2 linked regions of the Astyanax mexicanus genome follow. The protein of the gene in region 1 binds, or shares a complex with, the protein of each later gene. Links are inferred from orthologs where the notes say so. Each region holds a gene or a part of one and is shown in the gene's direction. Other genes may lie near its edges.

The links. The genes of interacting proteins can lie anywhere in the genome.
Region 2: the proteins of ints9 (region 1) and ints11 are in contact, whole or in part, in a cryo-EM structure (PDB 8RC4), measured with the Homo sapiens proteins. The link is inferred for Astyanax mexicanus from reciprocal best matches to the Homo sapiens genes INTS9 and INTS11. Residues at the interface, in NP_060720.2 of Homo sapiens: Glu127, Gly198, Tyr199, Ser200, Gln201, Lys202, Tyr231, Glu338, Phe339, Ile342, Phe343, Glu345, Gln352, Lys354, Val355, Tyr356, Leu357, Pro358, Glu359, Pro360, Pro361, Arg511, Arg512, Tyr513, Glu514, Lys515, Ile516, Glu517, Ile518, Met519; in NP_060341.2 of Homo sapiens: His94, Gln97, Ala98, His137, Leu138, His139, Gln140, Thr141, Lys274, His277, Tyr278, Lys280, Leu281, Phe282, Ile283, Pro284, Trp285, Arg291, Phe294, Ser449, Pro450, Ser451, Ile452, Pro453, Val454, Gly455, Ile456, Ser457, Leu458, Leu461.

Annotation. Positions count from the first base shown.
Region 1 is NC_064408.1:84,683,415-84,694,035, forward strand, and holds the start of ints9 (integrator complex subunit 9), read left to right. Parts: upstream 1-5,326; 5' UTR 5,327-5,425; coding exon 5,426-5,434; intron 5,435-5,464; exon of another isoform or gene 5,465-5,676; intron 5,677-6,092; coding exon 6,093-6,220; intron 6,221-6,347; coding exon 6,348-6,408; intron 6,409-6,518; coding exon 6,519-6,581; intron 6,582-7,067; coding exon 7,068-7,207; intron 7,208-7,879; coding exon 7,880-7,966; intron 7,967-8,101; coding exon 8,102-8,222; intron 8,223-8,935; coding exon 8,936-9,070; intron 9,071-10,187; coding exon 10,188-10,299; intron 10,300-10,621. Other genes in the region: kif13bb (kinesin-like protein KIF13B), read right to left, coding at 1,216-1,309, 2,736-2,819, 3,095-3,170. UniProt on the Homo sapiens protein: Component of the integrator complex, a multiprotein complex that terminates RNA polymerase II (Pol II) transcription in the promoter-proximal region of genes.
Region 2 is NC_064420.1:439,337-450,042, forward strand, and holds the start of ints11 (integrator complex subunit 11), read left to right. Parts: upstream 1-5,249; 5' UTR 5,250-5,617; coding exon 5,618-5,645; intron 5,646-6,284; coding exon 6,285-6,382; intron 6,383-6,670; coding exon 6,671-6,744; intron 6,745-7,081; coding exon 7,082-7,310; intron 7,311-7,912; coding exon 7,913-8,011; intron 8,012-8,121; coding exon 8,122-8,156; intron 8,157-8,578; coding exon 8,579-8,717; intron 8,718-8,821; coding exon 8,822-8,886; intron 8,887-9,001; coding exon 9,002-9,191; intron 9,192-9,496; coding exon 9,497-9,580; intron 9,581-9,928; coding exon 9,929-10,018; intron 10,019-10,706. Other genes in the region: ceramide-1-phosphate transfer protein, read right to left, coding at 2,290-2,812, 3,625-3,737.

The DNA of each region.
Region 1 (10,621 bases):
CTGTGTATTTCATTAGTATATTTCATTAGAAAGAGTGTCCCTTAGTCCTGACTAACTAAATGGCAATTACTGTGGAGAGGGAGAATATTTGAATAGAAATTTTAAAAAGTCTGCTACTGCTATATATATATATACAAACACCCTATGATGGACTGGTGTTCTGGCCAGTGGGTACTCATGCATTGCACCCAATGATTCCAGGTGGGGTCCTGACCTAATTTGATCCTGACCAGGTCAAAGCGTGATTCAAAAAAAGATGTATGAATAGATGAATTGGGATATATTTATATATATTTTTACACTACTGTGCAAAAGGTTTAGGCAACATTCAAAAATAGATTAAAATAACTTAACACTAATATTACAATAAATACCAATAACACTGTAAAAGTAGTGATTATACATCAATGTGTTCATTAAAGCATCTGCAAAGCTTTCTTTCTTGTGAGTCCGATCTAGTATAACTGGTGATGTAACTGAAACACCCACATGCTGACTGAGCTGACGTTATGGAGAAATCTGAAACCAAACTTTGTATTTTTAACTAGCTCACAAGCTCTCAACTTCTTTCTTTTTCAGCTGAAAAAAAATGTTCTTACTTTTTTTTTTTTTACTGTATTTATGTTTACTGGCATCTGTGTTAATGTAATCTAGAGAATTTGGTGGCTAAATGCTAACCTCAAGAGACTGGGTTGTCCTGCCAAATGGGACTAATGATACCTTAAATCAGACAGAAGGAGCTGAGGGGGCACTGCTACACAACAGTGAGTCATACAGAGTCAGAACCACAAAAACAATCTACTACATTACTGAATAACTCCACACACATTAAAGCGAGTGTCTTATAATGTAGGCATGCAGTTTATGAGCTATGCAAGCATTCTGCTTGTTAGCAACAATATTCTCTTAGCTCCAGTGCTCAAACCAAGCCATTTTTTCTATCACAAGTATCCAGTTAGGTCTGGCCTTGTAGTGACCTTCCACTGGTTGCTATGACATCTGAAGGCCAAAAAGGAAAAATCTGGGCAAGCAGTGGGACGAAGTGTGAAGCCCCGATAAATTCCAGACCACAGACAGCATGGAGCCAAGCAGAGGAAGGCTTAGATAGATAATAAGGCAAAATATTCCAACTTTTCAGCCAAATACCTACATTGTTTTGTGCATACAATGTTGCAACATGTACACACTTATATACAAGTACACACACTCTCTTACCTACTGTCTCCCTTTCCGAGGTTGCTGCTGGCTGGTTGCAGCACTGTCTGATTCCCCTCCATTTCCACCACACATTTTGTCTTCAGGTCCTTCTCTGGGAAAAGGCAGCATAAAAAACAGACGCACTGAATAAACACTGATAATACACAAACTGATAACACACAGAGAGGAACAGAATGAGGCAAGACAAATGTCTGGATAGTCATGTCAAAATCCCTTTTACACTAAAACACAAGACATTTGAGTACTTTTACAGGTAGTGCTCAGTCTACGTGACCATCACATCTCTTCGGAATCACACACAAAAAAACACCTGCCTCTTCTTTCCCAAAATAAAACCATTAATTCCAATGTTAAACTAAATCATGGTAAAATCCACTTTGCATTTGCTATGTTTCTCTTACCTTTGCTGTAGTTTCTGATATTGTATCAGCTTCTGTTTACACATGAGTTTCTCAGGAACTGTACTGAAACTCCAGCAGGTAATCTGCAATGTCAGCTTCATTTTGACTCCAGGCCATCTTACTAACTTCTTCCCATTTAAACTCCCAATACGTTTCCAAGTAAAAGTGTGTGTAAAAGGAGTTGCGGACAGTAATAAACCGCATTATCAACTGTGATTAATTATTTATTATTTTAGAAAATGTAAATCTCACATACTGGTAGAAATGATGTAATGATTAAGTACTATCTATATTTCTCTCTTAGAAGTAAACAGGCCATATTTTATTTTTGGGCTCTAAGACATTTATGCAAATGTGAATTTAAAAACTGTCAGGGCTACTAATTACAGTCTAACTGGGTTGGGCTAAAATGCTGTAGGCTATATAGGTGGAAGGTTTTGAGAGAAAAAGTTTAAATCAGCTTAGTGTTCATATATGAATAATGTGGATTTAAAAGAAGATATATTCAGGATACTATCACACCTTGAAAAGCTAGTTTACAGTCCTAACAATTAAGCAGGAAAACGTCCAGCTTGACCATCCAAGCTGACAGGAAAGCACAAAAAAAAACACTTTCATTTTCGGAAGCGCTGCAGTGTGACCCTATTCACAGGTTATTCCTAGGCCCGTAATCAAACTTAACTGTATCAGACTTGACAAAGGTGGGAAAGAATGTCCATTTAGTTAATTATATGTACATGAAAACAAGTTTTACGAGTTTGTATTTTATGTAACACTGTTGCTTTCTTTTCATTTGTGTTTTTCTATAGTTCTTGGTATTTCCTTTTTTATTTTACACATAACATAAGAACATAGATTTTCAGTCTGTAGATGAATGCTGGATTGCCTCAGAAACTACTGAACACCGGTTCATAAGTTATTCACTTGTAGATAATATTAAAGACATCAAAACTATGAAGAAATGCATATATGCAATTATGAAGATAACAAAATAAGTTCTTTGCTAACATATGTTTTGTCAGCTGTTTGTGAAGACCGAAAACTTGTGAAGAATATTAATATGTATTTTAATCTATAAGGATATTACATATATATACAAAGTCATAAAGGCCTTACCTCTTCTGTTCAAGGGTCTGACTCGAACAGCCACCTTCACATTTGAACCATTCACACTAGAGTCATCCATGGTTTTGTTATTGCCTAAAACAGTGGACAAAACAGTTTATTATTTAACATCAGGCTCTACAAATGACAGTACAGAACTATTACATTTATAAAGCTGTTTTTAATTCTGACTAGAATTCCCAGTTCCACCTTAAATGAAGCAGGAGTTTTACAGTAGTAAAGCCCGTGCTCGTTCCGTCTCTAGCATGTAACTGCTGCAGAATTTAAGGTGGAAGTGTAAAAGTTTAATAAAAAGCTAGAGAATTAGGAGTCAGATTAATTGTGGTGAATAAAAGCGACTTCACACTTACTTTCTCTCTGATTACTCCACACGGACTGAACTGCTGAACGCGTTTCCTGCCATAGTCTACTGTCCTCTCGTATCATGAAGCAGGATTAGGGAGTCTTTCTCCATTATTACAGCTCATGTAAACAGTTGTCAGAGTAAACTCACACCTCCGATTATCCTGGAGTTCCTCATTCCTTCACGAGCAGTGAAAAACACAATAAACGCGTAAATAAAGAGAGAGAGACCGATTTAGCTCCTTCTGTTAGCCAGCTTAGTTGGCTGTCATCCAGACAGGAAAAATCACAACAACAAACTCACTAATTTGTCCTTACGCGACTTTTACACAGGCTGTTTAAAACGTTAACGAAATCAATCTTAGTCTACACTGTCTTTAAATGTCTTTAAAGTGTGAGAGACTTCCACCTGTTTCCTCTCCAGCTTCTTCTCGCCATTTACTCCCACGGAGCTCCTGCGGACTCGAGCAGGTGGAAGAGGAGGATTAGCAACCGGACAGGAGTTTCTGAGAAAACCACGCCCACTCCATGGCCACGCCCCACATGACACGCCCCCTCCGCTGGTACCTGTAGATTTTACTTTTGAGCTTTTAAACTATGTGCTGCTGTATGTTAAATTTAAATAGAAAATATATGGGAAAGTGAAGAATTAGGAATAAATACATTTTGGATTTTTCAGAGCAACACCCTTCTGTAATTTCTGCCTCCCCTTTAAGATAAAGGAGAGTCTAACTTAATATTTCAGTCACTAATTCTTCTGTAGCAAAATATAATTGATTCCACTTATACAACATTTCTGCAGAAGATCAGAGGCTGTAGCCTCTAAATATTAATTATTAATTATTTAACATATTTCTATTATAAATAGTTTATTGTATATGATAATATATTATACTAACTATGTATGAATATATATAATCAATATTATAAAGACTTTTGCACATAGAATGTATTCTATGTGCATCAAATGTATTCAAAAACCAACACATTGCAGGACACGTTATATTGCTGATAAGTTTATTATTTTATATACTAGTAGTAATACTATAAGAACAACCATCTTACAAATACTACTACTACTCCTGCTACTACTACTACTACTAATAATAATAATACATACATACGTACATGTAAAATATTTTTTCATGCAAGTAACAGCTAAAAGTGGTATACAGACAATATTACTCTTCAATAACCACATTAAAGTTTGTTCTTTTGATTCATTGTTTAAATATTTATTAAAAAATGCTCATTGTAGAATAAATAAAAATACACAAATACACAAATACACATATACACATCGTACGTGTATGAGCTTGGCCATTTTAGTGCTCTGCTATGTAATTATTCTTTATTAAAGTAAATCACGTGTGCCAGAGTGAGTTTTACAGGTGAATATGCTCATTGCTAAGATTTGGAAATTTCTTGCCTAAGCAATTGAAAGGATATGTCAGAAACAATAAAAATTATTGCAATAAAATGAAAAAGGAAAATGCCACAGAATTTGTTTGGAGAGCATATAATTTTATTTTATGTTTTAGATAAATATATATCAGTATCAAGTATTTTTTTTATTAACATTTAATAAATCCCTTTTACAGTTCACAGTTTACATCATTTGTGGGTTAGGATCAGTTATGTGTATAATATGTATATTATATATTTTATATTTAATATAATAAAAATAATAATAATGCTATATGCACTTAAAGGTTTCTTGGGAATAATATCAAGAGGTAGATGGATGATCACAAGCCATCAAACCAAGCTAAACTGGTTGAAATGTTGCACCAGGAGTGGCATAAAGTTATCCAAAAGCAGTGTGTAAGACTGGTGGAGGAGAACATGCCAAGATGCATGAAAACTGTGATTAAAAACCAGGGTTATTCCACTAAATACTGATTTCTGAACTCTTCTGAAAACTTTATAAATATGAACTTGTTTTCTTTGCATTATTTGAGGTCTGAAAGCTCTGCATCATTTTGTTAATATCAGGCATTTCTTATTTCTAAATGACAATATTTTTTTTGGGAATTTGGGAGAAATGTTGTCCGTAGTTTATATAATAAAACAACATTGTTCATTTTACTCAAACATATACCTATAAATAGCAAAATCAGAGAAACTGATTCAGAAACTGAAGTGGTTTTCCAGAGCTGTATTGTGGATCTGAAGCTCTCCTAAAGCAGTAATAATGTGGTAATTCTCCTCCTGGGCGCTCGGGGGCGGTGTGGGTCTCTCAGTCTGATTCTCTCCTCCACACCGCTAGACTGCAGCCTGATGAGAAACCGAGTCCAGTGTAAACAGCGCCTGATAGAAACTATCCCCGCATCACAAACATGAAGCTGGTGAGTGTTTTATAACCCAGACACTGACCTACTGACTGTACACACCTCTGAACACACGCAGACCTCAGCATGGCTGATGATGCTGCTCCACAATAATGTAGACTAAAGATGGTAGAATTTTCCGCGCTACCTTCAATCTGTGGAAGTTATCTCCGCGCGCCCGCTGCACCGTTTACTCAAACAGCGAGGCATTTAAGGTGGAACGGGAAATTCGAAGACAACACAACCTCGTGAATAGTAGGGTTAGTGTACTAGAATTCACATTGGTATGTTTAAAAAACTCAGTCTTTATTTGTATCATTAAATACCCAGTTGTTAATGAATTCACGTAAATGCATGTAAAAGTATATTATCTTTCTAAAAGTCTTTCGACTATATTTTGGAGCATTGCTGTGAGGATTTGATTGTATTTAGTGACAAGAGCCTGAATGAATCCAGGACCACCCCGCCCTAACTCATCCCCAGCTCATCCTAAAAGTACTGGATGGAGCTCCGTACATTTACTATACATCCACATGATATACAGTAACTAAACCAAGTGACCGTCTTCAAAACTCTCGAGTGCCCATTGTTGCCGGTGGACAGGGCTTAGCATTCAGATTCTCATTAAATTAATTCTGTACATTAGCCTAACTAAGATTACATCTTTCTTTTCCAGTATTGTTTATCTGGTCATCCAACGCTGCCTTGCAATGTCCTCAAGTTTAAATCAACCACAATCATGTTGGACTGTGGTCTGGACACCTCATCTGCTCTGTATTTTCTCCCTCTGCCGTTGGTACACAGGTGTGTCATCGTATCACTTCAGATTCACCTGAACCTTTTTATATCTAGTGTTGTGATGAATATAACCTTTGTAATAGGGTGATGATGATTTGTTGCTGAGTTTATTTATGTTCTTAACACATTTCAGTCCAAGACTGTCTAAACTCCCAGGCTGGGTCTCTAAGGACGGTACAGTGAATCTTGAGAAAGTAAGTATAATTTTTTACTCTTAATACATTAGTGCAGGGATGAATGTATGCATATTCAGTGTAATATGATACTTTACTTAACTGAATGTGCTCTCTGTTCTTGGTTAAAGGAGCTCAAGGAATGCGCTGGTCGTGTTTTTGTGGACACACAGCCCGAGTTTTGTCTACCTGAGGTGTGTGTTTGTATCCTGAAATATTGGTCTTTGGGGGGATTGTGGAGAACATTTTTTTGTTTACTACATCATTTCATGTGTCCATTAACCTGTTTTTGTATTTAATATTAATCTACAATGTAAAGAAAATAATTAAATAAAGAAAACCACTAAATGAGAATGTGTGTTAAAACCTTTGACTGGTACTGTGCCTTTTAAACAAGAAAATATTTAGTGCTTATTCTTGTATTTTACGCACTGATTGTACTCACATTTCAGGGCACTATTTATTCAAATTGTCTAAAATAGATTTCTTTGGGCTTCCTGGTACACTTAATATGTTTATACTGACGTGCACAATTGGTAGAACTGATTTTTATTTTTTATTTTTGGAATATATTAATTAAATGTTGCATCTTTTACATTCTGAATTATTTAAAGTTTGTAAAAAATGTGTCTATGGTGCCTAAACCTTTTCATGCTGGATGTGTGTTTTTGTTTTTGTAGCGAGAGCTGCTGGACTTGTCCACTGTTGATGTTATATTAATCTCTAACTACCACTGCATGATGGCCCTGCCCTACATCACTGAACACACAGGTTTCTCAGGAACAGTCTACGCCACTGAACCCACCTTTCAGATTGGCAGGTAGCCTGTTTATCAGTTCTGTATATATACTGTATTTTTCACACTGTAAGATGCACTTAAAAACCTTTAATTTTCCCAAAAATCGCAAAGTGTTGCCAACCGTGTCTAGCGCTTCTGTAAATTGCACTGTTGAAAATATTGGACATCTAAGCCTACTGTAAATAACAGAAATGCTTTACTTAACCAAATATATCATTTTAAGGAGAGAAATCTGTGTAGATTAACAACATGGCAACACCCTTGATCCTAACTATTGTCATTTAAAATGAGCCTTATAATCCGGTGCGCCTTATGTATGAAAATAGATCAAAAGACATTTATTATAATATGGTGCACATAATAGTTTTATTTTTCAGCTTTAACACTTGTAGAGGGTTGCAAAATATCTGATGGATGGAAGTCATATAGGTAAAAGGAGAGCAAGGGCTTCTGTTAATTAATTGATTACTAATTAATAATAATAATAATAGTATAATAAGAATAATAGTAATAATGATAAACCTCAATTTTCATACATTAAGGCAGCTGAAGGAACTAAATGGTTCACAACATCAGCTAATATAAACATTAATCAACAAATAATCAATAAAAGCAGCAAAAGATAAAAGTTTATGAACATGAAAAAGGTAGAAAAAAAATGTATATAAACAAATGTTTTGTTTATATCCTCAGACTGTTGATGGAGGAGCTGGTCACTTTTATGGAGAGAGTTCCAAAGGCTCAGTCTGCCACCTGTTGGAAGAACAAGGAAATACAAAGGTCAGGAAGCAGTGGGACTTCATACATAGTCATAAACAGTGTTAGTTGCATGTGTGCATTAACAATATTCACACTGTTTTACATTGTTGAGTGTTTTTGTTTTAGTAGCTTTAAGAGTGATGTTTTTGTTTTTAGGATGCTTCCTGGGCCGTTAAAGGATGCAGTAGATGTGTGGTCGTGGAAAAGGTGCTACAGCATGCAGGAGGTGAACTCTGCTCTCAGTAAAGTGCAGCTAGTGGGCTACTCTCAGAAAGTGGTATGTCTCCATTTCTATTTAGACTTGTGATGCTAGGACTGTAGAGTAAATAAAACCTCATGTTCCTGTACCATTTCTGTATCTTTTCTTGGGAACACTGGAGATGTGACACTTTAATTTCAATTCAGTGTACAGATTGTGCTCTCAAAATAACTCCCCACAAAGCCATTAATGTCTAAACTGCTGGGAACAAAGGTGAGAATTACATTTCATTTTCCTTTAAAATGGTGTAATAGTATTATTATGCTAGTTTATTATTCTAATAGTAATGGCTTTTAATGCTCTGTAAATTACTATAATGTCATTTAGCACATTTATTTCTGCTGTAATATTAATGCTTGGCAAAAACAGGGACTGTGACAGGTCTAGGCATCTTATCATCAGGAGTCAGTGTCTGACAACAAATCAGAAAGTAGTCGTGACACTGAAAAAACTGTGTAAAAACTTTGTTGCACTTATACCAACAATACACACACACACACATACTACTGTGATACCATTGTCACTACGATGTTACAGTCACTGCTGTGCTAGAAGTGGACCAACACCATATAATATCTGGAAAGTAGTGTTTTTGCTTAGAAACTGATCCGTAATGATAAATGGGATGGAGGAGGCTTCAACAGATGGGATGTAATATCTCTTTCTCTTTCCCTTACTCTCTCTCTTTCTCTCTCTTCTCCTCTCTCTCTCTTCCCCTCCCTGTACTGTAGGAGCTGTTTGGTGCAGTGCAGGTCACTCCTCTCAGCTCTGGTTATTCACTGGGCAGTTCTAACTGGATCATCCAGTCGCACTATGAAAAAGTGTCCTATGTGTCTGGATCATCTCTGCTGACCACACACCCTCAGGTCAGCTAACTTGCATTGTTCAACACATCCTTCTGGTTTATTCTAAAACCATTAGTGGTTTTCTCATGTAGAACAAAATAACTATTTAATAAACACAATACTAATAACTAAAACTAGAAATGCGGAACATGTTTAATGTAATCTTTTGTTTAATTCCTCTATCAGTAAGTTGCTCTTATAATATCCAAAACATACCATAGAGATGTCAATGCCTTGCCAGTGTGTTGCATGTACAGTCACTGTGTGTTTGTGTTACTATGGTGTTTATTAACTTCAGTGTTTAAGGTGGAATTGATGATATCCCATTAGTTATTGCGGCTTTACTTTTTACCAGATAGAATCATGATATCGTCCTAAAATCATATGGCCAATGTTAAGAATCATAGTAACATACATTAGGCCCAATCCCATTCCTCTTCTGTACCCTTACCCTTTTTTATGAGTGTAACCCTGCCTCTTGGGACAGCATTACAAGCAGAAGGGGTGAAATCCTTTCCCTAAGCACTAAGAAGCTTTTTGTATGCTGGTTATGTGTCCATAAAACACTGAAACTACCCATTAAACTATGGTAATATAGCTAGTGGTTATCTTCATTTTAACAAGGAAAATACTCAAATTTGTGGGTTTCTTTGTTTCTTTGCAATTTTGCCAATGATTCTCAGCCCTTTGTTTTTTGAGTGTGCCTCTGAAAAATTCATTTGAAGGGCAATACACCCCTAACACTATACTCTACACCCATGCAGTCTAACAAGAATCGAGACAGCATGAAAGCGTAAACCTGAGGGGTAGGGCTAAGTGATAGAACCAAGGGGTGAAATGGGGTTGGGCATAGATGTACAATTTAGCCTGTAACATTTTTGTGTGACTACCACCTAACTAACTTCAGTTCCTCTCTAAGTTAAGTTTATATCTAGTACATTGCTGTTTCAAAATATGTTTTAATATTCTTTTGCTCAATTAATTATTATTACTTGAGAATAATTCAAGCTACTCTTTACACTTCTGCCTCTTTAATTAACCAAAATAAGAAAAAATGGGAGGTAGAGTATAAGGTTTAATGTCCACTGCAGGCCTTCTGTGTTTCAGACTTTAAAGTTTACTGTGTTGTGATTTGCAGCCCATGGACCAGAGCTCACTGAAGAACAGTGACGTACTGATCCTGACAGGCCTGACCCAAATCCCCACCGCCAACCCAGATGGCATGCTGGGAGAATTCTGCAGCAACCTGGGTCAGTTGTTGGGAAAGCTTTCTTAAAGCTATGGTTTGATTAAGTGTCAAGTTTACATGCTTTCACCTCTTTTAGAAATGTAGCCAGAAATCAGCCACGTAATGTTTAGTGTTTAAAGTTTACTCCAGTGGTTGTAGCCTCAAAGCTAAGTTGCTAAGTAATAGATAGGTAATAGAAGTTTGTAGTCACTTGCTTAATACACTGCATGCCTAAATCATCACACACTGTAATTATAATATATTCTCTAATAGAATTGGCTTATGTTGTTTCTGACACTGTGTGACATGTGTTGCATCAGCAAAACACTTAATGTTTCATCAAA
Region 2 (10,706 bases), on another chromosome or scaffold:
TGAATATATGATTTTTTTTATTTTATTTTCAAGTATATATTAATAGTGTTTTGTTGTTTTCTGATTAACCACTTTCTTAATATAAAAATAATTATATATAAAAAAAAATATTGGACTAAACTGGACTGAAGACACAGTTTAGTTTTACAGGTATTTCTGAATAGCAGATACAATGGCTAAAAGAATCACAACCCTTAACAAGTCAAGTAAAATCTTATGTTCTTTTCCTCGAGTTCAGTTTCAGTTTGTAAAAACAATAAAAAAAAAACACTTAATGGATCAATTTTATGCCCACTTTATTTTATTTTCCGTCAGCAATGTAGTGCAAAAGTCCACATACCCATCCCCTTAATGTTTTCAAGTCTTATTTACATGCCGAAAAATAAAATACACACAGAGGTCAGACTGTAATAATTTGTGCAGTATTACATCCAAGTTTATAATAAAAACATGTCCTGCAAATACTGTGTAAAATTGGAAAAACTATAATTATACAATAATTTAATATAATTCAGACCATTAACCTTAAACATTCAAAAACATTACATATACATACATATATTATATAGTATTGTAATACATCCTGGCTATGGTCATCATGGCTTATTAAACTCAGCAGATTATTATATACACTGCATTAAATTTGTCCCTTTTAATCATATATAAATACAGTACATACAGTAGATTTGCCTTAAACATTCAATTTTGGTCATTCGTACTAATTTACATTAAAAAGAGGCCTGAGTGGATTTGCAGGCCTGCATATGGTCTCTGTCATGAGAGAAATGAGGGGAGAGAGCGCCACCTATCCCCCCAGAGAGAGAGAGCACGACCAAGCATTGTGCTCGCTCGGACTCTGGCTGCTGAGCCACTGGAAGCCCAAAAGAACCTCCCTAGCTTTCAATGGAATTCAACTGCATTCAAAAGCATTTCTATTGGTACAGTTTTACTGCTGCTGTAGTCTTTCACGCTGTTTACTCAAACTATATATCTATACAGCTCTGGATAAAAAAATGGAGAGAGCACATCAGTTTCTGAATGTTTGAGTAAAATTAACATTTTTGTTTTATTTTAAAAACTATGGACAACATTTCTCCCAAATTCCAAATAAAATAAATTTTGTAATTGAAAGCATTTATTTGCAGAAAAAGAAAAAAAAGATGCAGAGCTTTTAGACCTCAATCAATATTTGGTGAAATCAATATTGGGTGGAATAAATCTGGTTTTTAATCACAGTTTTCATGCATCTTGGTATCATGTTCTCCTCCACCAGTCTTACACACTGCTTTTGGATAACTTTATGCTGCTTTACTCCTGGTGCAAAAATGTATTCAAGCAGTTCAGTTTGGTGGTTTGATGGTTTGTGATCATCCATCTTCCTCTTGATTATATTTCAGAGGTTTTTAATTTGGTAAAATCAGAGAAACTCATCATTTTTAAGTGCTCTCTTATTTTTTTTCCAGAGCTGTATGATTATTGAAAAACTGTTGGTATTGAGTTTTAGCATTTAGTTGACCGTCGCCATGAAACCATGTGTTTGGTCAAAAAGAAAGAGAGATAAGTGTATAAAGTGATAACAGCCTAATATAGTCATTATACGATATGAGATGAGATCCAAGATCTCAGTAGTAGCGCCAAATAAAACCAGCATCATTCCACACAGTCATTTTACTACACTATCTACTACAGTTCAGGCCAAAAGTTTGGACACAGCTTCTCTTTTTCAATGCGTTTTCTTTATTTTCATGATTATTTACATTGTAGATTCTCACTGAAGCATCAAAACTATGAATGAACACATGTGGAGTTTTATGTTCTTAATAAAAAAGGTGAAAATAACTAAAAAAACATGTTTTATAGTTTTTCTAGTTTCTTCAAAATAAAAGCCCCCCTTTGCTCTGGTTACTGCTTTACACACTCTTGGCATCATTCTCTCAATGAGCTTCATTTAAGAGGTGGCCACCTGAAATGAAAAGTTTTCCAACAGTCTTGAAGGAAGGAAGGAGTTCCCAGAGGTGTTTATTAGCACTTGTTGCTCCTTTGTCTTCTTCACTCTGTGCTCCAGCTCACCCCAAACCTGGATCTGGATTGGGTTCAGGTCCGGTGACTGTGGAGGTTCAGCTCATTTTTTATTAAGTACATAAAACTCCACATGTGTTCATTCATAGTTTTGATGCTTCAGTGAGAATCTACAATGTAAATAGTCCTGAAGATAAAGAAAACGCACTGAAAAAGAGAAGGTGTGTCCAAACTACTGTATATCATCTACTGCTGCGTCTTCTGCTATATCTAGGGCAGCTCCAGCAGGTTGTTCTGGGCGTACAGGTCCTCTGTGATCTGATGCACCTCTGAGATCAGGGCTAAAGCTTCTCCCAGCAGGGCGACCACCTCCTGCTCACTGCCTGCGTTCATCACCTGGAAGAAGGAGTCCCGGCCGGGCAGGGCGCAGAAAGCCACGCCCGTCGCCTTCCTGATGATCCAGGCGTGGTGCTGAGCCAGAGACTCGTTGTAGGCGTCCGAGCACATGACGGAGGTCTTGCTCTCCTCGGTGCTGGTGCGCAGACGCTCCAGGAACAGCTCCAGCCAGAGCAGAGCGCGGTGCAGACGCAGGAGCGTCCGGCAGCCCGACTCCGGGTGACTGCTCCTCTTGGTCAGGTCCACCAGCTCGTTCTCCAGCTCATACTTCACCATCGACTGCACCGTGAGGTAGTGAGAGCCGGACTCGCCGGCCTGGAGATTCTCCAGAATCTGGATTTTATTCACCGCGTCCTTAGAGATGAAGGAGAACACGGTTCCCAGACTGTTCATGAAGCTGGAGGGAGGAGAGGAGACGAATTATTACATTTTATTACTGATTTACAGTGCAGATTTCTTACTTACATACTTAGATAATCAACAGATTATCAAACAAACTTTAATATCAGACAAATATCAAACATAACCTGAGTAAATATAAAAAGCAATGATGATAATAAATTATGAATTTGTGTACTAAGGAAAAAAATGAGAAAAGTTTAAAACACATACACTAACACTTTAAAACACCAACACATCATTTCATAAAAAGAGCAGCATCATATTAAACGTAAAACATGGTGGTGGTAGTGTGATGGTCTGGGGCTGCTGGACTACATGTTGTAATAGAATAACTTTATGCTGCTTTACTCCTGGTGCAAAAATTATTTCAAGCAGTTCAGTTTGGTGGTTTGATGATCAGCTTGTGATCATCCATCTGATTATATTGATTTTATTCCAGAGTTTTTTTTTTATTTGATAAAATCATAGAAACTCATAATTTTTATGTTCTCTCTCATTTTTAATAAATTTGCTGGTTTAAGTTCCTGTAAAATGTAAAAGACAAAAGCAAAACATACTTTAACATGATTTCACTGTCCCTTTTTTAAAGTTTGATTTTTTTTTTTATATATATAACCTTTTCTCAGGACTGATTTTTAAGTGGTCTCTTATTTTTTTTCAGAGCTGTAAATAAGTATTTTATTATTTAATATTATACTGATCATATAAACAGTTTATATTTAATACAGTATTAAATAAAGCTCTAAAATCCTGACTGTACAGACTGTAGAATAAAGAAATAAGGGAAAAAAGAGGTTTGTCCCATACCTGACCAGCTCCTTCCACCCTGCTATATAATACTGGATATATATTTCCTTATTCTCACTCAGGCTGGATTTAAAGGTGTCCAATACATTCTGTAAACTAAACGACTCTGCCATGATCCAGATCTGCTACTAAACCAGCTGCGGATGAGCTGAGTGGAGATACGAGCTCAGGATATTAAACTTTAGGAGTTTTTACAGATTAAAACATCAGAGTTTATCAGCCTGATCTGATTCTACTGTACCTACTAACCCGGTCTGCTCACCGGCTGCGCTCCAATATCACACCCTGTGTCCTACCAAGGGCGCTCAGTGACGTGCTCAGAATTCCACCCGTCAGATTAAAGGACTTACCGAAACAAAAAAATAGTCAGATGTAGATTTTGTATTTACTCAAAACCTATTGATATTTTTTTAAAAACAAGTCATTTAAAATAATACAATTTAAAATTTATTTGCTTTTGAAAACGTATAAAAAACATGTTTGAGCATTTTGAGCGTTGTAATATATTGTTTTAAATTAATACTTTTGTCTAAATGTATACTTATTTTCACTTACAATAAAAGAAAATAAGTGAGCATTCAAGAACGGAAAGTGACGATGTAAAACACTTCTTAATCTTTATCTATTTTTCTATTTTTTTGTGAAACTATTTTGTGAAACTATGGTCAAGATAATTTTTAATAATACAGTCAAGTAGTTTTATTGTCAATACTGCATATGTACAGGACATACAGAGGATTGGAATTACATTCCTTTCCTTCCCAAAGTTACAACAAGTACAGCTAAACGAAATAAAAAATAAATAAAAAATAACAATATTGTAAAATAAAAAAATAAATAAATATGAATAATGTGTTTTATATATAATAATAAATAAAATATAATGTATATAATAAGAAATTTTCTCTTACTTTTGAAATCGTATTTGTTTGTTTGTTTGTTTCTATATAGTAACTATATTTTTAAGTTTTATTAGATTTTTATAGTAATTTATCTTATAGTTTTTCTTACGGTTTTTTTGGTAAGACTTTTATTTAGCCGGGTTGTAGATTGCGCAGTGTGCACCCTCTGGGAGCGTTGGTTTGGGACGCAGCCGGTTAAGTATTTAGTCACTCTTCCGGATACCTAAAGACCAGAGCTGGCAGTTCCACCAATCAAAGCAGACTGTTATATTACGTGCTTACTTTTAAAGCAAGCGATTGGCTGGAGGTCAGTGCATCAATCGGGTTCCGCCGTTTTGAGCTGTGGTTTATTTTTGGGGACTTTTATGTTGAATAAAAATTAAATAAGCGATATTATTTTGTTATTAGGTTATCCATAATTTTAATAATAATGATAGTTAATATATAAAATATATGTACATTAACTGTATTTTTTTCTTTAGTTTAACAAATTATCTTGTATTTTATCATACGTCTTATTTGTTTGTTTGTTTATTACATGTCTTTTTCGATATTCTAAGACTAAATTCTAATATTTTTTTATAATATGGACATTTAATATATGTATTTATATAATGTATAATGTAATGTATTTAAATAATATTTGTTCCTACGTTAAAAGTCCTTTGGCATTTTCACCAATCAAGCAGGCTGCTACATCACGTGCTCAATTTTGAAGCGGACGATTGGCTGGAGGTCAGCGGACCAATCGGGTTCAGTCAGCATGTCCGCTGTTTAGTTTTGAGACATTTATGTTGAATTAAATTAAATTTATATGTTTTTTATCAGTTTATCCGCCTGTAAACAGCGTGATTTGAGTTATTTAGATGTAGTTTATTGTGTTTATGGTGTTTAATATAGAGGGGAATTTGGAAGCGTTCAGTATGTAGTAAACTAGCAGCTCAGTATAAGAGTGTGTTAGTTAGCCGGTTAGCCGGTTAGCTTCTCATCTGTAGCATAAACTAACGTTACAGTAAATAAACCAGAACTACAATAATAATATTAATATTATAAGAATCTCCTAAAGCTCATAAAGCTCCTGAAGCTTCATCATGCCGGACATTAAAGTAACTCCGCTGGGTAAGCTGCGTTTCTGTACTGTTTATTGTTCTTACTTTTTATTCATTTATTTAGGTTTTATTTGGATTATTATGATCTTAGTTCTTTATTATACCTTCTACTATTATCACTCTGTCACTTATTACTCATTATTTTATTTTATCATTTACTTTTACTATTTTTATTTCTATTATCTATATTATTTTTATGAATTTCTTTATTTTAAATTTGATAAATGCTTTCACTTTTTGTGTGTTAATTTTTTATGGTCGTTTTATTTAGATTTCCCTCTTTTATATGTATATATTAATATATTATACATTTATATTAAATGTATTTATTTGAAGTGTGTATTTATTTTATGTATTAAAAATTTTAATTTTTTTATATAATGTTTTCAATCCCTTTTATACTGTAAATCCTCGGCTGCAATGTAAATAAGGGTCACCCTCAATGTACTCCAGAGTTAAAATAAAGGATAATTGATTTGATTAATTGATTGATTGACTGATAGATTAGAGCTGAAACTGTATAATTTACTAGGATACAGTTCGTGTTCTGAATCCTATAATCTCAGTAATTCTGTAATAATAGTTAAAAAGTCTGTGTTTTCAGTATTAATATGTGTGTGTGTGTGTGTGTGTGTGTGTGTGTGTGTAGGAGCTGGGCAGGATGTTGGGCGCAGTTGTATCCTGGTTTCTATTGGAGGAAAGAACATAATGCTGGACTGTGGGATGCACATGGGCTATAATGATGATGTAGGTTAAGCTACTGAAACTTACTGGAACTGAACATAAAGCTGACTGAGAAAATGTTATATCTTAAATATAAAACATATTCTGGTTTGTTTAAGTTTTTTTGTTTACTAAATAATTCCAGATGTTTCTCTTTATAGTTTAAATGAGTTTATTGTTAATCTACAATAAAGGAAATTAAAGTAATGATAAAACACAACATGTAAAGTGTGTCCAAACTTTTGACTACTACAGTAAATTGATATGGTTTTTCCATAGTTCATTTATTTTTTGCTGTTTTTTTCTCTTTAGAGACGTTTCCCAGACTTTTCCTACATCACGCAGAACGGACGCCTCACAGAGTTTCTGGACTGTGTTATTATCAGGTAAAAACACAAACCATCAAACCACCAAACTGAACTGCTTGAATTTTTGCACCAGGAGTAAAGCAGCATAAAGTTATCCAAAAGCAGTGTGTAAGACTGGTGGAGGAGAACATGATGCCAAGATGCATGAAAAGAAACTGTAATTAAAAACCAACCAGGGTTATTCCACCAAATATTGATGATTTCTGAACTCTTAAAACTTTATGAATATGAACTTGTTTTCTTTGCATTATTTGAGGTCTGAAAGTTCTGCATCTGCATTAAAAAATAGAACATTGACAGCACTGCTTTAAAGAATTGATGAACTGATTTCTGATTGGCTGCTGATCTCTCACAGTCATTTCCACCTGGACCACTGCGGCGCTCTGCCCTACATGAGTGAGATGGTGGGATACGACGGACCCATCTACATGACCCATCCCACCAAGGCCATCTGTCCCATCCTGCTGGAGGACTTCAGGAAAATCACTGTGGACAAAAAGGGGGAAACAAACTTCTTCACGTCTCAGATGATCAAAGACTGCATGAAGAAAGTGGTTCCACTCAACCTCCACCAGACCGTCCAGGTGAGTAACTAAACACACTGTTCATCAATCGGCAAGTCGCTTTAATCAATAAAGATTTTTTCCCCCCATAATTTCTATAACTAATATTGCGCATCATTAAAAAGATTCTTACATCGTACTAGTCTGCACTTCTTGAAGGTTAATAATTGTTTGCTCAGTATATTAAAGGAAGCTATATATTTATCGCATTGTTTATTTACTTGAGTTCAAATATCAAACAGTGCACACGGTTATGAAGCGCTTCCCTGCAGGCACAGAACACTGTTAGACTTTATCCTGACGTAAAATATTTGTCGTTTGGCGTCATGACCAACATTCAACCTGAAATGAACGTCTATTGGACGTTGTTGGCCAGCTCGGTTATTAATGGGTATTTACATGTAAATAAATGAATTTGATTTAGATGAAATTGGCACGGCTTCTTCAGAGTGTGAGTAGATCCAGACTTTAGAGCACCTCAGCCTGTTTACCTCGCTGTGTGTTTCCTCTGTTTCATGCGAAGTTTCTAAAATGAGCAGCAGAATTTTCTCTTGATTATGTCCCGGAGGTTTTTGGTAAAAGACAGAAACGCCGCTGGTGTTGTTGTTATTTTTGTGCTCTAGGTGGACGATGAGCTGGAGATTAAAGCGTACTACGCCGGTCATGTTCTGGGGGCGGCGATGGTTCTGATTAAAGTCGGATCGGAGTCTGTGGTTTATACTGTGAGTAATAATACTATAACTGTTTTCTGCTTCAATAAAAGCATGTGGAAATATTATACACTCTTTTTTTTAATACATGTATAATTTAATATATGTGATTTGTCCTACAGGGGGATTATAACATGACCCCAGACAGACACTTAGGGTAAGCATTGTTTTTCCTTTTTATATTTATATATTTAGTTATTCAGACTGTTTTTCTAATAATATTTAGATGTCGGAATTGGATTTAAAAAATATTTTAAAGTCTTTCAATATGATTAGAGTAATATTTGATATCAATATGAGATTCAGTTCAATTAGTGCAGTTCTAAATATTAAAGTATTACAGTTAAGTGAACCTGTCCGGTAGGTTGAGGAGTCTGATAGTTGTGGGGAAGAACCTGTTTTATAACCTGGTGGTTTTGCATTGTTTGCAGTCTTTTGCACTCTTCTGTACCTTCATCCCGGTCAATGTTTTGATAAATGGTTTTCCGTTTAATAATGTATTTAATTTAATTCATTCTAAGAACAGTTTTTAAAGAGTTCAGGTTTAGCTGAAGTTTATTTGAAGCTCTTTCTCTGCAGGGCGGCGTGGATCGATAAATGTCGTCCGGATATTCTGATCTCTGAGTCGACCTACGCCACCACCATCCGCGACTCCAAACGCTGCAGAGAGAGAGACTTCCTAAAGAAAGTCCACGAAACCATCGAGAGAGGAGGAAAGGTGAGAACAAAAGCTTTAGGGAAATACATCATAAAAATACCTTAAACTGATTTTTTTCTGTTTTACTCACTGTGTATATTTTAAATGTGTTTATATGATCACAGGTTCTTATTCCAGTGTTTGCGTTGGGAAGAGCTCAGGAGCTTTGCATCCTTTTGGAAACGTTCTGGTGAGTCTGAAATAAAAATTGTGGCAACAAGAATCAGATTAAGCTGAAGAAATAGGTCTGTTGCTGTTGAAGGGTTCTGAGTTTTGATTTATATGTTTATTTTGCCTTTAATCAGGGAAAGAATGAACTTAAAAGCCCCCATATATTTCTCCACTGGACTGACGGAGAAAGCAAACCACTACTACAAGCTCTTCATCACCTGGACCAATCAGAAGATCCGCAAGACCTTCGTCCAGAGGAACATGTTCGAGTTCAAGCACATCAAAGCGTTCGACCGCTCCTACGCAGACAATCCTGGACCAATGGTAAGCCTCGCTCTGTAGCAGTAGCCAGTAGTGTGTCATACCAGACTTTTGCACAGGTAACCAAAACAAATGTTTCATCATTTTGGTGATGCAATGCGTTGACACTACTCAGAATATTCAGTCATAGGTTGCCCGGTCTGTGTAGAACCTTCGGCGGGGGGTTGCCAGTTAAATACAGAACCCTCATTTGGGGGGAGGGGTCTGTGATAGTAGTTGTAGTCTGGTGTGAGCGTTATAGAGGTCAGATTGGTGTGGCTGTTGTTTTATTCTGGTTTTTATTTTTATTTTTGTTTTTTATGGTTTAGGTGGTGTTTGCCACTCCAGGCATGCTGCACGCTGGACAGTCTTTACAGATATTCAAGAAATGGGCTGGAAATGAAAAGAACATGGTAAGAAATACAAACCTAAAATCCATTCTTGATATTCTTGAAATGAATTTAAAAAATATATATTTTTTTGTATATCCAAGAATATTTTAGCGCAAAAATATATTTTGTGATTTTTATTGGTCATATTTATTATTATATGGTCATATTTCCAATCCTCACCCCAATCACTTGTATATAGAATGTCTGAGTGGCAGGATAAAGTCTGGATAAAGTTGCTGTGTCTGTGTTTAAGCGGTTTTATGGAGATGTTGGGCTCAGGAGGAGATTTCTGTGTTCTTGGAGTTCTTGGAGTCTCCTGCTCCATGTTTGGTGTGAAACTCTCCGTCGTGTCGTGTGGTTTTCCTGCAGGTGATTATGCCGGGGTACTGCGTGCAGGGAACAGTCGGACACAAGATCCTGAACGGCCAGAAGAAGCTGGAGATGGAGGGAAGAGCCACGGTAAAGAACACAGCGTCACTAGAGGGCGCCAGAGCGCTTTAAATTATTCCAATACCAATAATTTCAGCCACCAAAACAAAGTTTGCTGATAACACAAGCAATTCAGCTCCAGAAAGATGTTAAGTTAATGCTGATATTAACTTGAAGATGGGTTGTGTCTGGGTCTTCCAGCATGACAATGACCCAAAACACACATTCAGGGCAACTAAGGTGTGGCTCTGTAACAGAAGCAATTCAGTGTTCTGGAGAGGCCTAGCCTGACTCCAGACCTGAACCCAATGTTGAAGCTCAGTGTTGCTCAGTGAAACATCCCAGAAACCCAAAAGATCTGAAGAAGATCTGTATGGAACGAGATGGTAAAAAAAAACTCTGCTGGAGGGTTTGTGCAAACTTGGTCAAGAACTACAGGAAACGTCTGACCTCTGTAATTGCAAGCAAAAAGAGTGTCTGTACCAAATATTAAATTCTGTTTTTGTATTATATCAAGTAATATAATAGTTATTTTACACAATAAAACGCTAATTAAAAATACATGAAGATTTTTCATTTAAGATTCTGCTTTCACATTTGAAGTAAACCTACAATAAAAATGTAAGGATTACTCTACACTCTTTGTAGGTGGGAAAACTTGCGTAAAACGTATAATGTGTGTGTGTGTGTGTGTGTGTGTGTGTGTGTGTGTGTGTGT